2 linked regions of the Daphnia pulex genome follow. The protein of the gene in region 1 interacts with the protein of each later gene in a pairwise test. Links are inferred from orthologs where the notes say so. Each region holds a gene or a part of one and is shown on either strand. Other genes may lie near its edges. The genes, in order: RING finger protein 11-like and rab5 GDP/GTP exchange factor-like.

What was found.
Region 2: the proteins of RING finger protein 11-like (region 1) and rab5 GDP/GTP exchange factor-like interact in binary tests that used the Homo sapiens proteins (3 or more experiments, as listed by UniProt). The link is inferred for Daphnia pulex from reciprocal best matches to the Homo sapiens genes RNF11 and RABGEF1.

Annotation. Positions count from the first base shown.
Region 1 is NC_060023.1:11,168,723-11,172,648, forward strand, and holds RING finger protein 11-like, read left to right. Parts: upstream 1-1,394; 5' UTR 1,395-1,532; exon of another isoform or gene 1,533-1,598; 5' UTR 1,599-1,678; coding exon 1,679-1,724; intron 1,725-1,885; coding exon 1,886-2,031; intron 2,032-2,089; coding exon 2,090-2,238; intron 2,239-2,308; coding exon 2,309-2,480; 3' UTR 2,481-3,621; downstream 3,622-3,926. Other genes in the region: putative ammonium transporter 1, read right to left, coding at 3-92, 165-291. UniProt on the Homo sapiens protein: Essential component of a ubiquitin-editing protein complex, comprising also TNFAIP3, ITCH and TAX1BP1, that ensures the transient nature of inflammatory signaling pathways. Promotes the association of TNFAIP3 to RIPK1 after TNF stimulation.
Region 2 is NC_060026.1:15,789,092-15,792,364, forward strand, and holds the end of rab5 GDP/GTP exchange factor-like, read right to left. Parts: coding exon 3,263-3,273; intron 3,200-3,262; coding exon 2,775-3,199; intron 2,719-2,774; coding exon 2,491-2,718; intron 2,426-2,490; coding exon 2,122-2,425; intron 2,050-2,121; coding exon 1,992-2,049; intron 1,918-1,991; coding exon 1,786-1,917; intron 1,725-1,785; coding exon 1,614-1,724; intron 1,540-1,613; coding exon 1,054-1,539; 3' UTR 550-1,053; downstream 1-549. UniProt on the Homo sapiens protein: Rab effector protein acting as linker between gamma-adaptin, RAB4A or RAB5A. Involved in endocytic membrane fusion and membrane trafficking of recycling endosomes. Stimulates nucleotide exchange on RAB5A. Can act as a ubiquitin ligase.

The sequences.
Region 1 (3,926 bases):
ACTTGTGTCCATGTAGTTGAGAAAGAGGACGTTGGTGACGTTTTTACTTCTCACCGATCCCGACTCGTAGAACGCGAATCCCGCCTGTAAAACTAAACGCGAAATATTTCCTGTTTTCTTTTCCCCCGGCCAATCAATGTGATTTAAGGCTCAGTTTAACTCACAGAAGACGATGCTGCCCATGACAACGAGGAAAAAGATGTCGACGTTCTTCTTGAAGGACTCCAACTCGTCGTGAATGAGATTTATTGAAGCGATTGGATCACTTTGATTGATCAAGGGCGACGCCATGGCGCAGCACCGTGCAGTGACAACACTTCTTTTATTATTTTTTCCCCCCTGCACTTCGGGATATTCGTTCGCTCACGATTTTGTCAATGGAGAGCGGACGCTTAGTACATCGGGAAAAAGACTCTTTTTAAAGGCGAGAAACTTGCGTGCGGCGCACCAGCCATCTGGTTGTGAAGAGTCGGGAATCCGGTTCGTGACTAACAATGCCAGTTTCGTGTAGCTAAGAGATTCTGAGGACCAGGGCGCAAGTGCAACACAAATTCAGTTTCAACTCGTGAGTCAACTAGATTTTTAATATCTCTGTATCTTGCACTACTTCATCATCGATCTTCGATTGCCAAGTTGGGATGCCAAGCTCTAACTGGTTGTAATCTCACTAATTATAGATGGGCCATGCCTGGCCTCACATGGCCTACATTCTCCTATTCACTCAAGTTGGTGGACATGCTCATCATTTTGGAATGGCTAACTTTTATGCTGACAGTTATTGTGTGTAATAACTTAGGATGCGTAGTTTCTGTGTTTGTTTGTCAATGATCTAAATGACGCAGCGAAGCTAGCTTGGCAACTCACGACACTTTGATTTATTCATTTATTAACTGTCATAAGTACATGGGTTTCCAAAGATATATCAACTACTACTGGAAAAACAACACACTGGTTAATCTTCTGATTGGTTGGTGACACTGAACTTAGACATTAGAAAATTAGAATTATTACATTAGAAAACATTTAAGTTAAATAGAATGGTTTCGATCTATACTCTAGAACGTGAGTTATTGATGGATTTTACCTGCACTGCTTTTTCGATTTATTTTGGGATGACGTAGGCCACGTCAGTACATCGTCACATATTGATTTCTAGCTCGGTTTGAATTTGGCGCCACCTATCGTACAGCGCCGAAATATCGGCCGACAAAATGTTTTGGTCGAGTCACAAAATAAATAAAAAAATTACCAAATAGTCTTTACTTAATTATTGAAGTAATTTTTCATTTAAATTAATATTAGAATGTTTTCTTAACTAATAATAGTCAAATGTTGTGAAACTTTGTTTTTCACGAACAAAAAAAGTAGGTTACCCCCCCGGAAAAGCCTTGATGTTTTTATCCCGAATTTTGTGACAAAGAGAAATCAGCTGGCCAGGAGAGCACACGATGCGCTGAGTGATTGCGTTGTTGTTTGACTTAACGTTTCTCTGTCTATTTGAGCTCATTTCTTAAACAGCCAAATCTTATCAAGTACCGTGTACACGTTTCCAAATTTTGATATGTTGAATTGATAAACTAAAGTACTCGAGTGTGTAGTTTCGGAGCACCACCGATTCGCGTTGTTACTTTCGTTGTCGGGTGTTTTGTATTCGCCAGGAAAACAAAAGTCGTCAGGAATGGGCAATTGCCTTCAAGGTTGTTGCGGTTGTTGTCAATTCTCTAGTAAACATTAATTTTCAGTTAATTCATTTATATTCTCCTTTAGTTGTCCTTTGTGTTGTAGAGATTGTTTTGTATACAGAAATCTGGTGCAATCCCCAGTCAACTTCACTCAGCAAAGCCTGTGAGATATTTCGTAACTCTTGCCTTTGTTCTTTTCCAAGGTCTGACCTCGTCCACTGATGGGGTTTCCCTGCTTAGGGGTAATGAAACACCACCACCATCGCTAGAGTCTCAGTCTTCATCAGACTTGCAGCTGCATGCTTCTTCATCCTCAGGAATGGCTTTTGGGCCTCCACCTCCATACGAGGTTTGTTATTCCAGTGATCGAGTTTGTTGCCGTGACCTTCAGTATAGTTTTTTTGTAGGAATCCATGCCCATGTATCACCCAACTCCCAACGTGTCAAGACCAGCTTCACAGCTCACCGAAGAAGAGCAAGTGAAGATAGCCAAACGTATTGGTCTCATCCAACACCTACCCACAGGAACTTATGACGGGTGCAAGAAAAACAGAGAGTAGGATCTTTTTGAGTCACATTCAGTACTGTTCATTGTGGCGGTGTTTATTGTTATTTAATTTTTACAGATGTGTGATATGCATGGTGGAGTTCATGGTGGGCGATTCCGTTCGATACCTCCCATGCATGCACACGTATCATGTCGAGTGCATCGACGATTGGCTAATGAGAAGTTTTACATGCCCGTCATGCATGGAACCGGTCGAGTCGGCCCTCCTCTCGACCTACGAAGCCAACTAACTACTACATGCAAAAGACAAAGGCGTCATCACCTCATCAGTCCTGCTCTCTCTCTCTATAGAATGAGCTTCATCCGAACTGAGAATTTCATATTCGAAAAGCCGGAAATAACGCGTCATCGCAAAGTGATAACTGGATTCTTTATTTTGGTTCCTTTTCGAAAGTATTAAGACTGCGGTCGAAGAGGAGACTTTTTTGAGTTACGTTGTCCCTATGTTTAAAAAAGAGAGAGAAGGAGAAGAAGAGATTCCCGTGTGATAAAGTTTCGGTGAATTCGGTCGCACCAGATAGAAGAAGAAACTCTTCCTGGCTTCTGTTTTTACGCCTAGAGTTCGTACCTTTAAATATGATATACAAAGCCACTTTGTACTTTTTTTTTTCCTCTCTCTTTAGATTTTTCTATCTTTCATTGCGCTATAGGAGGAACGTTTTGTACCGCGATTATTAGTTTTTTTTTTCTTTATCGGCTCTCCTTTTTGTTTCGTTTTTCCTCGCCACTAGTCTCTCAATTTCACACTGTTGGAGCGTTCAAACTCGTTTCGTTGCTTATTTTTCCTTCTTTAAATTTTTTTTCGTTTGATTAGAGCTCGTAGATTCACGTGGGATTCAGGTCCTTCCGTTCTTTTGGGTTACAGTAACTTCTAAATCTGAAAAGGTGGTTTTTGTTGCTCTGTTTATTCTCTTCTTTTCCTGTTCATCCACAACTGCCTTTGGCGCATTAGCGCGCAAACATATTAAGGCATTCCTTTGCGTTATTCACTTTTGCAGAAACGTTTCTGATATTTACGCGGTATAATATGTTATCTTACGTGTGGTACGTCGGTGTAGTATGGTTTATTATTAGTTTTAACAACTTAATCATCTCTAGCAGGGAGGGGAGCCTATTTTGTGTCGTTTAATTTCCTTCTTTATTATTTTCATCATTTAGTGAACAGGAAAATCTTCTTTTTACTTCGATGATGATGAATCATAATGTTCAATGAACATATACGAGTGCTATTCTGCTGGTGAGTGTCGTTCGTGTAATAACTTTTTTTTTCGTAACGGCGAAATGCTAGTCCATCCCCATGTGTATGAAATATTATTGTAGCGCGATCGGGCGGCTTGGTTTCGAAATCATTACATGTAATCGGATCATTGACGATTGTGTTGACGAGGAGTTCATTGATTTCACTTACGTTTTATCTATGTAAAACTTCTAATTTCTTTGCATAAGGATTTTATAACTAGGTAAGTTCACCAGGAATGGATATATTTTCTTGTGATCCAAACTCACGAAACCAACATACAATTTGTGTTCCGATTATAATAGGTAAGACATACAGTAATAAGCAGATCATATTGGTTAAAGGATATTTACAATTTACACACATCACTAGGACTTAATGTAATGTACGTTTAACAGGACAAGAATATTATTGAGATTACGAAACCTCGGATCAAAAC
Region 2 (3,273 bases), on another chromosome or scaffold:
ATAAATAGGACACATTTTTATCAGAGTTTACTTTCGTTGAGGAGTTGATATTTTTGTAACCAGTTCGGACGTTTGCCAGGAAGGTGTTGACAGCCAGCTGCGGTTTACTCCATAGGATCGATTCATCATTTAACTTGAAAGCTAAGACGAAGATTCATGAAATGGCCATTCATTTTCAATCTTTGTTAATATTATGGCACAATCTTTTACCTGCAACGATCCGATTTCATTACGTAAGGGAAGAAATCAATGTCGTACCCCAAAACTGCCATTGGAGCGCAAAAGAGCCTATAGAAACATTTGCTTTGACAAGGAATATAAATCGTGAATCAATTCTTTACCATAAATTCACCAGCGACAGCAGGTGTTTCCCCGAAGACCGATCGCGTTCCTCACTGTCAGTTCCTAGACGAAATTGAGTTAATTTGCAAAACAAAAACAACAATTAAATTGTCTAAAAAAGAAAATACGCCAACACCATTACCTGCGAGAATTCCCAGTAGACTGGCTCTCCACCCCACGTACAAATCAATAGAAAATTGCAATGTATACACGAGTAAAATTCTATTGAATCTCTTTCACGATGTTCACATTGCCCACAGACATTCATCCTGCAAGACGAATCATGCAAAAGAATCATCCGCAATCCCAACAGTTTCACTGTTTTCGCTTTGAACTGGAAAAATACTCAAACGACTCTTTGGAAAACAAAGATAATTATTTGCGGATGACCAAGGGCAGAGGAATAGCATTGAGATAAGAGAGACTAGAATAGGAAGAGAAGGGGAGAAAAATGTGTTTGTTAAAAACGTTAGCAGTCATCGCGTTTCACTCTAATGCTGCCCGGGAAATATTATGGAAAAAAGCACATCATGCAAATTCGTTAAGGTGATTTAAATTACACAATAGAGTTGAACTCGCAAAGGGTAACGGGATATTACATTCCCTGTCTAGTAGTTGTTCTTTTTCAATTGTTTTTTGTTTGTTATTTTCATTTCGATTGGGAAAAACGAAATCAAATCATTAAAACAAAAACTATTGAGGTGGGAGTTTTTAGTTGGAGGGAGGGAGTTGTTGGCCAGTGGGTGAAATGTTTTCGCAAGGAATACACGGAATGATCCGGCCTTGAACGGTCAGAGAAAGTGAACTAAACGGGTCGTCGTCTGTAGTCGTCTCCAGCAGCAGAGTGTTTGGCTCTCCAGAGGACGAGCAACTTATCGACAGTTCATTAAGAGCCAGCAGATCAAGTTCCTGGATCGATCCGTCCAGTAGATTGTCGGTGGCCGCCACCCTGCGTCCCACGGGTGCAGCTGCGGCTACGTCCGGCACGAGATGCTCCAAATTGGATGATATCGAATCCACCAAGGGCGGAAGGGCAGACTCTGCGCTGATTTTATGCGGAAGCAACGGAGGAGGCAGCAGCTTGAGAGTATCACTCTCATTGGGCTGCACCTCATCAGGTTTGATTGGAGCTCGTTTGCCCCGAATCTGGACGGGAAACTGTTGCAAACACTCCACCACTTCCTTGCCCACACATTCCTGAATGACGAAGAGAAGAAGAAACGATAACGAACGTAAAAGTAGTGACAACAAAAGTATGAGGGTCATTTTACGTTGAAGATTTCCATGTCGCTTTTCAGCTCGAGGATTTGCTGCTGGAGGTTTGTCTGCTTGTGTTTCAGCTCCGACAGGGTCGACATGTTTTGGTACATGAGACGTAAACCCTGAAAATATAAAACGAGAAATGATTGCAATTCTTTAAAAACAACCGAAATGTAAATATACCTCCGACACCATCACACCGGCTTGAAGCGACGCAAATGGAATGGACTTGCCACTCATGTAACGGTCAAATTCCTCGCTCGACAATCCCAACGAATCGCTCGTCAAGTTTTCTAAAAAAGAAACGGCACAACACTGGCCAGAGAGAAAACAAAAGAACCAACGTCGTTACTCGCACATAATTAAGGTGAAAATGATTATGCAAATACCAAGTTGGTGAAGTAGTATCCACCCTCGCCCTGGAGCAATCGACCAGGGGCCGCAAATCTAAATGGAAATTACCCAACGTCAAATAGCGGCAACAACAAAAAAAAGTCATAACTATTATTATTATAATACCTCGTGATGAAATTGAGATTGGAATGAATGCGTGGTGGATTGGCACGCAACACTACGTAAATGAGCGCCGGCAGGAAATCATCGGCACTCACTGGGTGCGAACTGTAAACAGTTGGCTCTACCGCATCACCTTCGGTCATTTCTTTCGTCTGACCTTCGCCGGATTCTTCTTCCGCACGAGTTCGTGATTGATCGGCATTTGAATTGTGGGACAATCCCAACATTTCAAACACCAACTTGCTACAATTTATAATCGATGCCAGCTTGTCCTGAGGTGCTCTCTGGCCGTCCATTTCAATGAGATCTAAATTTATAGAGGTATTTTAGGTATTTTAGATGAACCGAGACGTAATGTATGACGGAACGTACGCGTGATGGCCTTCTCGAGGATATCTCGAACTTTAGAATCAAGTTCGTTGATTCGACAGTCGAGAAGTGGGGCCGAAATCCAATTCAAACTACGGATACGTTTCTGAACGGCCAAATCACGTTCTTCGTCATCGCAGGTGTGAGGGCAAAACAATTTTTTGTACAACAGTCGAGTCAGGTAACGTTCACTGTGATCTAACAAGGATTCCATCGAGCTGTTGGTCATGTCTGTAGAAAAAAAGATGTTTCAAGTGATGAAAATGATGAAAATATGTTAAGATTACCCAAGAAACCTGAATGAGTTTTCAGCTTTTCGTCAAAGACTTGATAAATGTTGTGAACCCTGTCAGATATCTCCAAAGGAGTGAGGACCCCAGATGATACTAGACCGTCCAGTTTTTGGGCTTGCATTCTCAAGAAACTGTAGGCGTGATGGGCAGCGTTTTGTGGTAGTGTTTGCAGAAATTGATCCAATTCTATAATGGCTGAATGGGATTCCGGACTGAGGGCTCTCTTGTCTTTTGATTTCGGGCTCCCCAAACCCTTGGTGGGTGTCTTCCTGAAGAGTGACTTGACGGCTGTTGTCCTCATCTCTTGATTATGCCTCTTTTTCTCTTCAAACCTGGAAAATCCATGGCGGGGAAGTGTCGAAGAATGGCTCTCTGGTTTGTTGAAGAATGTGCTTGCATCACTCTGCGATCTCTCAACTCTGCAATTGACAAAAATGCTGTTACATCCCGGAAAAGAATTTTAAATTGGTTCGACAACATACTTGCGCCCAAG